Mus musculus: one gene and its partner. The protein of the gene in region 1 purifies or fractionates together with the protein of each later gene. This does not show direct contact. Links are inferred from orthologs where the notes say so. Each region holds a gene or a part of one and is shown on either strand. Other genes may lie near its edges.

Evidence for each region.
Region 2: the proteins of Tuba1c (region 1) and Txndc9 purify together in Homo sapiens (co-immunoprecipitation; 3 studies listed by BioGRID and IntAct, counting the BioPlex papers as one, with this or other methods). This does not show direct contact. The link is inferred for Mus musculus from reciprocal best matches to the Homo sapiens genes TUBA1C and TXNDC9.

The regions. Positions count from the first base shown.
Region 1 is NC_000081.6:99,026,770-99,033,715, reverse strand, and holds the start of Tuba1c (tubulin alpha-1C chain), read right to left. Parts: upstream 3,826-6,946; 5' UTR 3,295-3,825; coding exon 3,292-3,294; intron 1-3,291. UniProt on the Homo sapiens protein: Tubulin is the major constituent of microtubules, a cylinder consisting of laterally associated linear protofilaments composed of alpha- and beta-tubulin heterodimers.
Region 2 is NC_000067.6:37,992,889-38,000,115, forward strand, and holds the start of Txndc9 (thioredoxin domain-containing protein 9), read right to left. Parts: upstream 4,321-7,227; 5' UTR 4,221-4,320; exon of another isoform or gene 4,005-4,220; intron 2,954-4,004; 5' UTR 2,934-2,953; coding exon 2,745-2,933; intron 1,223-2,744; coding exon 1,104-1,222; intron 1-1,103. Other genes in the region: Eif5b (eukaryotic translation initiation factor 5B), read left to right, coding at 5,402-5,436. UniProt on the Homo sapiens protein: Significantly diminishes the chaperonin TCP1 complex ATPase activity, thus negatively impacts protein folding, including that of actin or tubulin.

The DNA of each region.
Region 1 (6,946 bases):
CAAAACTTCCTCTTCCCTTTAAAACCAGCTCAAACTAGCCCCCATGACTCACAAAAAAAAAAAAAAAAAAAAAAAAAGGCTAGATAAGCAGATAGTGGTATGCTAAGAGTGGCCAGAGGCAGCCTTGCACCCAGTGAAGACTCTAATCTGCAAGAACAGTTTTCCTTCCCGGTCTCACTGTTAATCCATCTGGTGGGATGTTTTAAAGATCAGAAGACTCCTAAAACTTCACAAAAGTTTAAGAAATGGGGCTGGAGAGTGCCAAGAAGAAAGGAGTAATTAGTGGCTCCCTAGTAGATAGATCAGAGTGTACATTTCTGGCACTGTGGAAAAGTACAAGATTCTAACCATGGTGGTCAGGGGGACACCCTTGTTTTCCTTTCCTTGCTCAATAGTCGCTCTGAAGTTACCAAACCCATTTCCTATTGGTCCAATGAGACAATAAGTGCCTATGCTGAACCCACAGGATTCAGAGGGAGCCAGTGTTCATCATAAATCTGTATGAGATGAGGACCTTGAATTTGGCAGAAAACCTTCACATTTGACAAAGAAGTCTCCCACAGTTGCTATGCTTTTCCTTTAGTAAAGACTTTCATGCTTTTAAGGTCATGAGCAGGAAACTCAATTCAACATCCAGGGTCTCTAAAGAGCAGCTTCTCAGGCCTCAATAGTAAAACAAAACATTGCTCACAACCTTTGACTAGTCTCGTCCTTCCACCCGTGTTTCCCACAAGACAATCAAGGGCTTGGACCACATCAGTGAGATCAGCGTCTCCTGTGCGGAGGACTGTGGGGGAGGTGCAGCTCTGGTTCAAGTGACCTTCACCTGGACTTTAGAGCCTCCAGTCCCCAGAAGCTAGAAAGAACCACAGGCAGGCCTAAGGAAGTGCGGCGTCGGAGGCCATAGATTCTAAGGTGGCATTTCAACAGTAGCCTTTTGGTGCTAAACAGCTTCTTTGTGCAGGCAAGATAGCACATGAAGGTCAATTTCCGCCAAGCCAGATAATGAGTTCAATCCAAAAGACCTGAGTCTCCACACAGGCATGCGTGGCAGACATACATCCACATGAGAAATGTAAAATCTTTACAAACAAGCCTGTCTCCTGGAAGCTAAGAAGCCAAAGCCAAGAGGAACAGATGAATCACTTAGTCTAGCCTCGACTGGATTAAGAGGCTTGCTGGTGTAGCAAAGCCAGACACTTAAGCCATGCTTGCCTAATAGGTGAGCCTGGGGCTTTTCTGAACTGTATCTTTGTGGGTTTGCTTGATCAAAAGCTGTTACGGCATCCCTCTTTCAGAATACAATTCTGAAAGTTTCCTGGGGTGTGGGAGGGCTGTAGGATAGCCTGGGAAAAGAGCCTACTAGTGAGCCTGATCTCGGAACTGCAAGGAAAGCTGCCCTCTCCTGCCCCCACCCCCAAGCATACCAACTATCCAAACGTACACTCCACACAAGTGAATAAAACAAAGAAGCCAACAGCTTTGGGGGCTGGAGAGTTAGCTCAGATGAGAGAGGTCTTGCCTAACTATGTGAAGTTCTGTGTTCCATCCCAGCACCACACAAAATGGTGGCTCGGGCCAGTAATCCCAGTCCTAGTGTGGGAAGGAGGCGACCAGCAGTTCAAGGGTCACCCAGGACTATAGACAGAGGCAGCTTGCGCTACCTGAGGGCTGTGCACCTCACTTCCCCAAAGCTTCCATAGACCTTAAACAATACTGGGATGGGGTTTTCTTTAAAAAAAAAAAAATTTTTTTTTTTTAGATTTATTTCTTATATGTAAGTACACTGTAGCTATCTTCAGACACACCAGAAGAGGGCATCAGATCTCATTAAGGATGGTTGTGAGCCACCATGTGGTTGCTGGGATTTGAATTCAGAACCTTTGGAAGAGCAGTTGGTGCTCTTAGCTGAGCCATCTCTCCAGCCTTTCTTTTAAATTTCTATTGTCAGCTGACCAGGTGCAGGCTAGGTAAATGGTCTCTCAAATAGTTAAAACTTATTTAGCAGGGAGGTTCCTTTTACCGAAATTATTCACTCTGTAGCCCGCTCTAGCCTGGGACTCACTAGGGACTAAGGAGCCCCAAACTCATGATGAGCAATCCCCCTCCCTGTCTCAGCCTCCAAAGTCTAGAGAACTAGCCACTCTCCTCCAAGCCGGGCTGAGTTCCTGGTAACTTTGTTTGCTTTTGAGACCGGGTCTCATTGTGCTGGCTGACCAGAACTCAGAAGATACTCCTGCCGCTGCCTCCAGAGCCCAGGGTTTGATAGCCTCACCCATTTTTTTCTTGAAAACTGAACTAATACATTGTTAACCAGGTGAATAACCCTAGCTCTTGGGTAGTGGAGACAGAAGGATCTTGGTTTTAGTTGAAGGTCATGTTTGGCCACATAATGATTTCAAGACTGGCATGAGCATAAGACACTCAAAAACCAAAGTGCAAGCCAAGTGGTTTGCCTTTCATCTCAGCTCAGGTAGCAGAGGCAGGCAGAGCTCTGAGTTCCAGACCATCCTGGTCTACAGGGTGAGTTCTATTACAGCCAGAGCTACAAAGAAACCCTTTATCGAAGGAAGGAAGGAAGGAAGGAAGGAAGGAAGGAAGGAAGGAAGGAAGGAGAGAGAGAGAGGGGGGGGAGAGGGGAAGGGAGAGAAAAAAACCCGCTGTTGGTAGTTTACTCTAGCTTTAAATTGAAAAAAAAATTTTTTACGGACATTTTTTCTTAACTGGGCTAAATATAAATATGCCGTTGAAGTAACACTAAAAACTAGGCTGGCTTAGGGGATCTGACGCCAATTATTCCCTCCTACGGAGGAGCTCGCCTTCTCAGGTGCACAGCTGCAGCTGGAAGGGCCGGGGACTGGCCACAGGTGACTCAGCAGCGAGTCACAGGGCGTGGAGACGGTGCCCGGAAGTATTTGCTCAGTCCTGTCCAGAGCGCACGAGGTCCTCTGGGCTATCCCAGCTGGGAGAGCGACATCATTTGAGGAAAATGGAGACCTTTGAGTTTCTCCAAACTCTCGTGATCATTGTGAAAGTTCCCTGCCTTTCCGGGAGCGACCGGCGGCCGAGACGGGATGCTCTCCCAGGAGGATCGAGACAGAGGATCGGGACGAGCCCTCCAGCCCAAAGCGACACTAGTTTAGTGGACTAGGCTCTCACACCCCAAACGCCAGAAGCCAGTCTAACTGGAGGCGGCCGTCGTGGGGCTATTGCAGGTATCGTCTCCCGGGCAGCCCTCAGCTCCCGCGGTCCCTTCAGACGACCTCGCCGCTACCCCAAAGCCATACTCACCATATTTAGTCCTTGAAGTGGTCCGCGAAAACTGAGGAAGTGAAAAAGGGTGACGAAGATCTCCCACTAACAGACTACCAAGGAGTCCGGGGGAGAAGCTGTGTAAGGTCCGCCTCCAGGACAGGGCTTATATACCCTGGCCGGGCCACGCGTCGGGAGGGCGGACACCGGACCCCGCCCCGGGCCGCAGCGAAGCCGATGATTGGCGGGTTCGAAAGTTCAAATCAAACTCCGTAGAAGGAGCTGGAAGTGGGAAGGGGAGGAGACACCCAGGGTCCACGCCAGGGCCAGGTGGGGCGGGGAAGAAGGTGGGGAAGGCGATTGGAAGTTGGAGGACAGCGAGATCTTTGTGGAGCTCTGGCCGGAAGAAAGTCCCAGGTAGAGAGGGGGGCGGCCTGGCTCAGCCACCGGGGACTCACAGCTGATCGCCGCCGCACTTGTGGCTCGGTCGCCCCACCCAGGCCTTGGAGCCCGGAAGAGTGAGCCAGAGAGGTGACCCGGGGCTGCCGGCAGGGTGGTGACTGCGACAGCTTCAGGGGGCCAAGATGGAAACGCCCAGTCAACTTGACGGCACAGTGGGAGGGGTGGAGCTGAAGTTAGCTCAAGCCAAAGCCGGTTACAACATCACCAGGGTTGCAGCCCCTGAAGGCAATCTTTCCTAACCTAGGTCTCAGTTGCCTCCAATGGGTCCTAAGCACCTTACTCTTTACTCCCGCCTTCTAGAAGGCTAGCCCTCTCCTCCTTCCTCCCTTCTCCCCACCCTTCCCCCAAGTCCTGAGGATATTTGCCAGAGCATCCCGAGCGCCCTTTTATTTTCGAAGGCAGAGTCTGCCTCAGCTCCTCTTTAAGCAAACATTCCGAGTCTTAAGAGCCTTAAGAGGCACAAAATTATTCGGCCCATTATGAGAGGAACTCGTAACTCCCCCCCGCCCCCCAAGATGGGTCCCCGCTGCAGTGCTCAAGCTAAACCCAGGCGATCCACACTAATTCCTTTCTCTGCGTCTGTGGGATGCAGAGTTCACTCTGTAGTACCACATTCTCTCTGGCCCAAGAGCCCGGGGGCTCCTCTCCTCATTTTACAGTCAAGAGGAGAGGAGAGTTCGGGAAACAAAGCAGGCAAGTGTCTCCACCGCGGGAGACGTTGGACTTCCCTGCCCCACTGCCCTGCACTAGACAGACTTGTCTGAACAACTCCGCAAAGCAGATTTCTCAGAAGTGCCATTCAGTCCTGCTGAGGAGATAGACAGATCCCTGGGAAAGTTTAAGGAACTGGAGTGGTGTGCTTGCTTGTCCTCTTCATACTAAGGAGAGAGAGACAGGAAGAGCCTGGAGCTCACAGGCCAGCTGCTCTTGCAGTATCAGAGTTCAGTGAGGAACCTTGTCTCAAAAAAAAAAAAAAAAAAAAAAAAAAAAAAGGTGGAGAGTCATAGAGGAAGACGGAACATATTGACCTCTGGCCTATGCACGTACACAGAATCTCTCTCTCTCTCTCTCTCTCTCTCTCTCTCTCTCACACACACACACACACACACACACACACACACACACACAAATTAAAAAGCCGCCCTTATTTGAATGTGATGATGCATACCTGTATTTCAGCAGGCAGGGGACAAGACTGGCAAATTTGATCCAGGCTACTTTGTTTCAAATAGAAAAGACTAGAATGCCAGGGATGGCTGTGAAAAGTGGTACAATACAGGCAGACAAGATGGCTCAGTGGTAAGGTCATTTGCCACCAAGCCCGAGGAACTTGGGAGTTTGACTCCCAGGACCTATCCAGTGTAAGGAGAGAACCAACTGTAACTGATTAAATTATCTAATCTTTATACCAATAAAGTACCAGAGGCTTAAACTATGGTAAAGACCTGCTAGCTCAGCAAGGCAACTTTCTTTTCTTTTCTTTTTTTTCTTAACTACATACAAAATATCTATTTACAAGCCTGATTCCACAACTAAACTGCTAGCTCTTTAGAAATTTCTTTCTGGGGCTGGAGAGATGGCTCAGTGGTTAAGAGCACTGACTGATCTTCCTAGAGGTCCTGAGTTCAAATCCCTGCAGCCACATGGTGTCTCTCAACTACCTGTAATGAGATCTAATGCCCTCTTCTGGTGCTGCCTGAAGACCGCTACAGTGTACTTAGATATAATAATAAATAAACCTCTTTTAGCTACAGTGTACTTAGATAAATAAATCTCTTTTTAAAAAAATAAATTTCTTTCTGAGTCAATCTACAGAGCTAGTCTACTTTTCTCTTGAGCTCCTCCAAACCGGAGAGGGCTTCTTAGCTCTCTTTCCTAGAATATTGTTTTACCTGTGTCCTGCCAGCTGTGTCTCTGTTTTCCTGTAAGTCAAAGAGAAAAATCCCTAGCCCTTACTTGGAGCTCCTTCCATAAAGAAGACTCTTCCAAGCAGAGAGAGAGAGAAGGGGAGATGGGAGAAAGAGAGTACTGGAGAGGGAAGAGGGAAGGGGAAAGGGGAAATGGGAAAGTGGGAAGAGAGAGAGAGAGAGAGAACCTCTCCCAAGCAAGTTGCCTTAAAGTTAGCAGGAACTTTCCATTTTTTAGCATTCTTATCTAATGAGGCTTTTAGAGGCGCACCTAAACTGCATCTCTACAGGACTCATTTAGCCGCCTTTGACAAATGCAATTATCTATTTAAACTCTTATATTTTGCTAACAATTAGCTTTTCTATGTACAATAATCAAGTATCCTGTAACACTAATTCCCAAAAGTTGTCCTCTGACATCCATACACATGCCGCAGCAAACACATAGTCTATGTAAATAAAAACGCAAGAAATAAAAAGAAGTCGAGCAATGGTGACAGATGCCTTTAATTCCAGCACTTGGGAGGCAGAGGAAGGCAGATTTCTGAGTTCTAGGCCAGCCTGGTCTACAGAGTGAGTTCCAGGACAGCCAGGGCTACACAGAGAAACCCTGTCTCAAAACAAACAAAAAGGAATGGACCAGGCAGCAGCTGGAGCAAAAGCTTCCAGTCACAGAAAGCCTGTGGTGTTCTTGGGCAGAATGCGAAGGCCAGAGGGATGGAATTGATGCATGGTGAGGAGCTCTGGCACAGTGGAGCATGCCTGTAAACGCCACACGGTGGAGCATGCCTGTAAACGCCGCTACTTAGGAGGCTGAAGCAGAAGGACCACTGGTTTGAGGTCAATCTGAACAATTTGGGAAACTCCATTTTCCCTAGCATTTATGATGGATTGAGTTTAATTCCCAGTGAAGAGGTGAAAGGTAAGAAAAGCACAAAAGGGGCTGGAGAGATGGCTCAGCAGCTAGGAGCACTGACTGCTCTTCAAATCCCAGCAACTGCCGGGCAGTGGTGGCACACGCCTTTAATCCCAGCACTTGGGAGGCAGAGGCAGGAAGGTTTCTGAGTTCGAGGCCAGCCTGGTCTACAGAGTGAGTTCCAGGACAGCCAGGGCTACACAGAGAAACCCTGTCTCGAAAAACAAAAACAAACAAACAAAAAAATCCCAGCAACTACATGGTGGCTCACAACCACCTGTAATGAGATCTGACGCCCTCTTCTGGTGCATCAGAAGACAGCTACAGTGTACTTACGAATAATAATAAATAAATCTTTGGGCTAGATGAAGCAAGGGCAGACCGGAGCGACCGGAGCAAGCAGAGGTCC
Region 2 (7,227 bases), on another chromosome or scaffold:
TCATCACCTGAGAGAATGAATCCAAGGCATTCAGTCTCTGAAAGGTGTTATACGGAAGTGGTTGGCTCTGAGGCTAAGCTGAGGGCCAGGTAGGCTACAGGAGAGAGAAAGAAGGCAGGGCTGAGGTACAGTGGGTGAGTCAGTTACCCTGCATGTCCACCTAAGAGAGGCGGCACCAGAAAATTGCTATTATGATTCTAAATCTGTTATGATCAACTTTTCTAATTTTTAAAAATTCTGGCCGGGTGTGGTGACGAGCGCCTTTAATCCCAGCACTCGGGAGGCAGAGGCAGGCGGATTTCTGAATTTGAGGCCAGCCTGGTCTACAAAGTGAGTTCCAAGGACAGCCAGGGCTATACAGAGAAACCCTGTCTCGAAAAACCAAAAAAATAAAAAATCTGAAATCTGGCTAATTCTTAAGTTGTCATATTTCAAAGGCTGGCAATTAGCCCTTTCTGAAGGAAACACACACACACACACACACACACTCATGTGTGATTGAGTCCTTTGTTTTAAGACCTAACCTCTTGGGCTGAGGCTTTAGCTCAGTTGTAGGACAGTTGCCTAGCACGTACAAATCCTTAGTTCTTGCTCCCTCAAAAAACATAACCCGGGGAGGCGCGCTACTCTCCCTGTCTAAGCCCTCAGAGACTGGGCTGCCTTAAGGGAAATCACTTCTCTCCACATCTGACAGTTCCACCCACGGTTCTGATGGAAGACTTGGTCAAGCCTCTGTCTCCTTACCAAGAGGACCAAGACTGGAAGGATAAACAACTGGGAAAGCTGTTGGCTTCCAATCCCCAGCATCCTGAGAACACAGCATATCAAACGATTGTTTTGGTAAGAAGTACACGCATGCACTTCAGGTTGTCTTTGGAGTTACATGGAGAAGCCACAGGAGTGCTGACTTCCAATAAGACTGACTTATTTACTTGCACATTGCTGGCTTGTTAGTTAAATCTCTACAATAATGAAAGCACCTGTGAGCACATCACCACGCAGGAACATGGCAGTTATCCTTTTAATTTTCTCAGTTACCAAGTCAGCAGTGTGTCTACGTTAATGTCTCATCACCATAGAGATGAAGTCAGGAGCCAGGTTACCTGAATGTGGTGTCTCTGTAGAAATGGCAAACCACTTTCTCACTCTCCTTGACCTCTTGAAAGAAGTCTCTCTCGCTGCCGATTTCTCTGTACTCCCCGTGCCCTTTGGAAAGCCACTCCTAATTTCAAGAGAAGCAAAAAAGACCCAGCTGAAATGTGTTTCAGTGACACCAAGTGTCTTACATGTCTCAATCACTGTGTACTTCTGTAAAGGAATCAATTCTATAAATAGCAGGTGTTCCCATCCGCAGTTGGCTTTCCTATGCCGAAGTGGCAATTAGTGCAGACCTAGTCTGTGGGCAGGAGTGACCGTCTCTATGATGGTTCAATTAAGACAGTTTTGCATCTTATTGATTTACCTGCTTCATTTTAAGTTTCACAGTCAGAATTTAGGTCTGAGAGACATGACATGAAAATACCAATTTAACTTTCACATGCATGCTCTTTAAACTAGTAAAATCAGGATTGTTTGATCCAAATGATTACAAAAGTGTTTTTCTGTTTATTTTGTGATGCGAGGGACTAAACCAGGAAGAGCAGGCTAGGGAAGAGCTCTACACTTTAGAAAATAATGTTCTTACAGACAATTAAGGGATGCTGAGTGTGGGAGAAAGAGTGTTCTCCAGGGAGAGCACACCAACTGGCTATCCACTACCGAACGGTCAGCCTTGAAAATGTACACACAAGCAACATTATACAGACTGAGCATGGTATACTTAGAAACAATGTCCTATCCACAGCAAAAACTAAACAAACCAAACCACCTCAAGAAATAAAGTCCGTCTATCCTGGGGACAGTGCAGTCATCACCGCTCAGGAGCTTAAGAACCTATCCATCTCAAAACAGGGAGGGCTTCTACACCAGCCAACAGTGGGCAGAGTCCTCAGAAGGAAGAGTATTATATCCATGTGGGGTCCAGAGCCAAGGAAAAGCCTCACAAGGAAACGTTCAGCTTCCCAGGCTGAGGAAGGGCCATTACCCACAATCCTGGGAACTCTTCCAGCCCCTTCTACCTTTCCTGTGGCAGAAAGCTTGACACCTCAAACAGATGCTCACTCTCCCTCCTCAGGCAGCAGTGGCAACACCCACCCCAGCATTAACTGACCAGGGTTCTAATGAACCTTCCGAGCCTTCACCTTCTCTCTTGTAAGTCAGTGTGACAAACCAACCACGTCACTGAGTGGCCATGAAAACCACAAACAGAACAGGGGTGCTGGCGCTCAACTCCAGCACTTCGTAGGCAGAAGCGGTGTTGTCTGTGAGTTCTAGGCCAGTCATGGCTATACAGTGAGATCCTGCTCCTGTCCTGCCCCCCCACAAAAGATAACCTAATAAAAATGCAGAGTCTAACACTTAAATATCTTCTCGTACAGAACCATGATACTTCTTTCTGATACGTGGACCCTAAGCTTGGTCTATGAGAAGACGTTTCATCTCTCTTTTACTATCAACGCCCCAGTCAAATGCTTCATCTTGCCTAAACCTTCCCTAATGTTTCATCCCTGGGTTAAGTATTGAACATTGACGGAGATGTGAATTCAGAACATCCTGCAAGTGAGGAGGGAAAGTCACATGACTGCAGTGCAGTCGGGAGCTGGGCTCCAGTGATTCAGTGAGCAGGCGGGCGGGCGGGAGGTTACTTGTTTCTGCTGCTGAGCCTTCCTGAGCGCCGCCAGCCTCTTTTCTTTGAGCAGCTCCAGTTCATCTTCACCAATCTGATCCAGTTTCTGAATTTCAGAGTCCAAGTGATTCTCCACCAGCTTAGCGGCCTGGAGGAACTGGTTCTCCAGGACTTCTGAGAACATGTCGACGGATCCATTACCTTCCATTGTTCTAAGTGGTCTTGGTGCTGGGGGAGGGGGCATAAAAAATAAGTATTAAGTTTACATTTCGGGGGCTTTGTTGTTTTTTTTTTTTTTTTTAAAACAGGGTCTCTGTAACAGAGCCTGAGAGGTTAACACAACAGATGCCATGTTGGAGGCACTATTTTGGCCTTAGAACTCAGCATGTAGGCCCCAACACCTGCCAAAACCAGAATAAAGATGTAAACCATCAAAGATCTCATTTATGGTTCCAGAATCCAGGGAAATCCCTAAATACACTAGCTTGCTTTTCGGCATACTTCCTCAAAAATATCCTGACATAAACGTTACAAGTCCAGGTGACAGCCCATCGCTTCTACGACTAAAGGCAGGCTCTTGAAGCAGAGAGAAGTAATTACACACACGTCTACTTGTGTCCAACATCTGCTGGAGAACAACATTAATCTGGGAGTAGATTAATTAATGCAACCAAGACAATCCCTACTCTCTGAGCCATGCCCACTGGCCAACCTAATCTACCCAATTTCTCAATGAGTCTTTCTTCCTAGGTGACCGTAGATTATTCTATCAAGTTGACAGCTAAAACTAATCAGCTCACACACAAAATAAGCCTGGGCATGGTGGCTCATGATTACAACCTCAGCTCTCAAGGGCAGAAGCATAAGGGTCACACCTCATATTTGGAGCGATAGGCCTGGGCTACATAAGGTCATTTAAAAACTCCAACTGTCAGCTTCTCATAAATACTATACAACTGAAAAGAAGCTGTACTCCCAGGATCCCTAACTCGGGGAAGAGAGAGAAGGATCCGAGACCAGCCACTCAGAATCTGCATCACAGTATTCGTTTATCACCGAGAATTTCACAGGAGACCTTTACGTTTAAATGCGGAGCTTCACGCGACTAAAAGTGCTGCCCTGAATTAGGCGGAGGTGGTCACTGCCTTTATATTGGGGGTAAGGACATAACTTTCTATTTATTGAACCAAATCGAGTATTATTCTTACCGACGAACTGGGGGCCCTGACACCTATGTACTCCCCTACAAACTCCTAACCGAAACCCTAACCCCATGTACCTGTCAGCAGACTCTTCGCCACTCCCTGAGCTCAAGAGACTGGTGGAGTAGTTCCGGGGGGACCCGATTTCGCACTAACTGGGGCGCATGCGCCGTAGCCTCCGCAGCCGCCCAGACGAGGCCCTCCCAGCCGCTCCCTCGATCCCAGCCGAGGATGTGTCCTTCATCAACACTGGGACGCTGTGGCACTATCGGCCACATCACCCTCAGCCGTACCTGGACTATTGATGAGGCCTACGGAGAGAGGAAGCCGCAGATCAAGAATACCCACCGGGTTCACACAGGTTTCAACCTCGCAGCAATTGTTAAGGGCAGAGAAGGGGCTGTTAACTCCGCCACTTCATTGGCTACAGTCCTCTCGCGATACAATGTGAGACACTCGCGGAAAGGGCGGTGGCGAGTGACGAAAGCCTCGGAGAAGCCCTATCCTCCGCCACCCGGAACTACTGGCTTCCGAGCCTACGCTTCACGTGGGCTAATGGCCGGAGGGATGGGCGCTAGGCACGTTGGGAATTGTAGTTCTTTGTGCACTGACTGCGGGTCCCGGCTCTACCGGGAAACGAGCCGGGTCTTGAGCCTGAGTGACAGAGGGGCTTCATTTCTCGTTGTGTTTAATAGTTTCGAAAGTGTAGCTTACAGTACATTATAATTTATACACAGCTCACACTAGTAACATCGCCCCGAAACATGGAGAAAATTTTCACCATGCCAGGATCTTCCCTCCTGACTTTCTTAGGCACATGAATTTTTAGAACTTGCTCATACGAAGATTCATATTAGGGGACCCGTTGCTGTGTCCTTATGTCTTTTTCCCCTTAATAAATGTACACAGTTGACAATTCATGAGTGTTTCTGAGAGGGATCCCATTTTTTGTCCTGCCACCCCCAGAACGCTCATCATTGACTCTTTGTGGTCCTGTAATGGACTTCCCGCAGCTGAGGCCGCGTAGGCAGGGGAGAATTTTCAGTCCCACTTCTGCGTCGAAAGCCAGCCCCGGGAAGGGTGCCGACGTGAGAAATGAACGGCCTCATTGTCGTCCTCTAGGTTCTAGAACCCGGGATCCGCCGGACGTCGGTGCGCGGCGCTCACTTGCGGCGAGGGGGCGCCTGGGTTCCCACCTGGCCGGCGGCTCTACTGGAGACGCTCTAGCCGAAGCGCCGCTCTCGATGAGCCGCGCCCTGCGTCCCCACGCCGAGGCGGCGGGGCGATGCGCTTGCGTACTGAGGGCTCACACCATATGTGCCCTGTCCCAGTGCGCGGGTCTGTGGAGAGCCGGGTGCGAGAGGCGGCGGCGCGAGGGGGACCGAGCCGAGCGGGCATTGGAGTCAGCCGGGAGACAGTGGGTCTGTGAGACACCGAACCGAGGGGCCGGGGCCGCGAGCGCCGTTGACAAGCGATGGGGAAGAAACAGAAAAACAAGAGCGAAGACAGGTAGGCGGCGGGGCTCGGGCCGGGGGTCCTCCGGGAGTCGCGCGGGGCCCTGGATGGGCGAGCCTCGACGGGGCGCGTCCCGCGGCCGGGGCTCGGGCTGGGGTCCGAGGCGTGGGGCTGAGGGGCTCGGAGGTCGTTTGGGGGTCCGGGCGGTGTGGGGCCGGGCTCGGGCGCTGCTAAGCCAGGCCTACGGCCCAGGTGAGTGCGAGCCGGGCCCGGAGAGCCCGGGTGGGGCGGGCCGGGAACGGCTCCCTCGCCTCCCCTGGCCCTGGGAACGCCTCCCAGAGCGGCTCAGGAACTTCGGAGGTGCTCGGGGTTGCGGAGAGGTAGCCCAGCGGCTCCCTCCTCCCGTGTGCCAAGTTGGAAACACTTCTGGGGTTATTTAAAGTCCCGGTTGCCCAGTCCTGCTTTCTGGCTTTCCATTTTCCGGCCTCTTTTTTTTTTTTTTTTTGCGTATGTCTTGGCTTCCTACCGCTTCCCTTAAGAAAGGAGGAGGGGAAGAAACCAGTCAAGGGTCGCTGCTTTCTAACCTTAAAAGAAAAAGCCTTTTCAGGGGAAGGAGTGTGTGTTTATGAGCTACTTAGGCGGAGATTTGGGGAGCATGCCTGTGCCACGTTCGATTAAGTTCTTTTACCCTTTTCAGTTGAGTTGACTTCCTGGGCGTCTGCAACCATCTGTTCCATTTCATCTTTAAGTAATGGCCATTCAACTTAATTTAAAACACTACAGGTAACCGAAAACAAAACCAAGCCTTGTGGCACTTCATCGCTGTGGCTCACACAGACATGGTTTTGAAGTTAAAGCTGTTGAAGTGTATGTCGGAACACTTAAGTGTGTGGACCTCGCAGTTGGCTATCTGGCAAGAAGAATTTAAAGACTAGGCTTGTATTTTGGTTTTAGGTCTGTTGGAGAATGTAAACTGGTCTGCGGAATAGATTCTGGGTTTCTTGTGGCAGAGTTAGTGTTTATGAGGAACAGGGTTTATTACAGATTTAGATGTGAGCATTAAGAGGGACAACAGAGGAGGGTTCTGTAGAGCAGGGAAGCTGAGAACTTCCTCTAGAATGGGGGTAGGGCTTCTCAAAGAGTGGCCTGAAAGTTACTGTTAGTCAAATCAGGAGAATAAAAAGAGGTAAGCAGATATTCCTGAACCTTTGGTAGGACATTGGCATACGTGAGTAACATTTTATTTATTTATATTTTTCTGAGAAGAATTTTGAGTTCTATCAGTCATCTATCTATGTATGTACTCTGCATTGTCTGTTTCTGTGTTAAATCATCACCCTACCCTGCCTTTGCCGGTCTGCAAACATCATCACTTGGCCAGTTCTAAAATACCCACTTGTTGGACAGTCTAAACCAAATCTGAGGCCTTTCATGTGTACAAACGTCAGGTGTATCTGGAAGATAAAGGTTGTGCTGGGGCCCTGTAGAAATGTAACAAGACAACCACAGTTGGATTGGACTAAGGAATAGGAACTGTTTTCTTACCTCTAAAGCTAGTTTCTGTTTTCCCTGATAGCGTTTTTTAGAGTTGTTAAAACTGGGTCTCACACAGCTTAGCCTGGCTGCTTCTCTGTGTGGCCAGAGGGGCTTCCTTGAACCTCCTGACTCTCCTTCACCTTGTAAGGAATTACAGGAGTAGATTACTAGGAGGCTTCCTTGAGTTTTTAAAGTTTTTTTTTTTCCAGTTTATCTGTTTGATTCATGTTTATACCAAGTTTAAATTTAAAAAATCCATATTTTTGTTACTCAGTTTCTAGTTTTTACTTACCTTTCGGACTTTTTAAC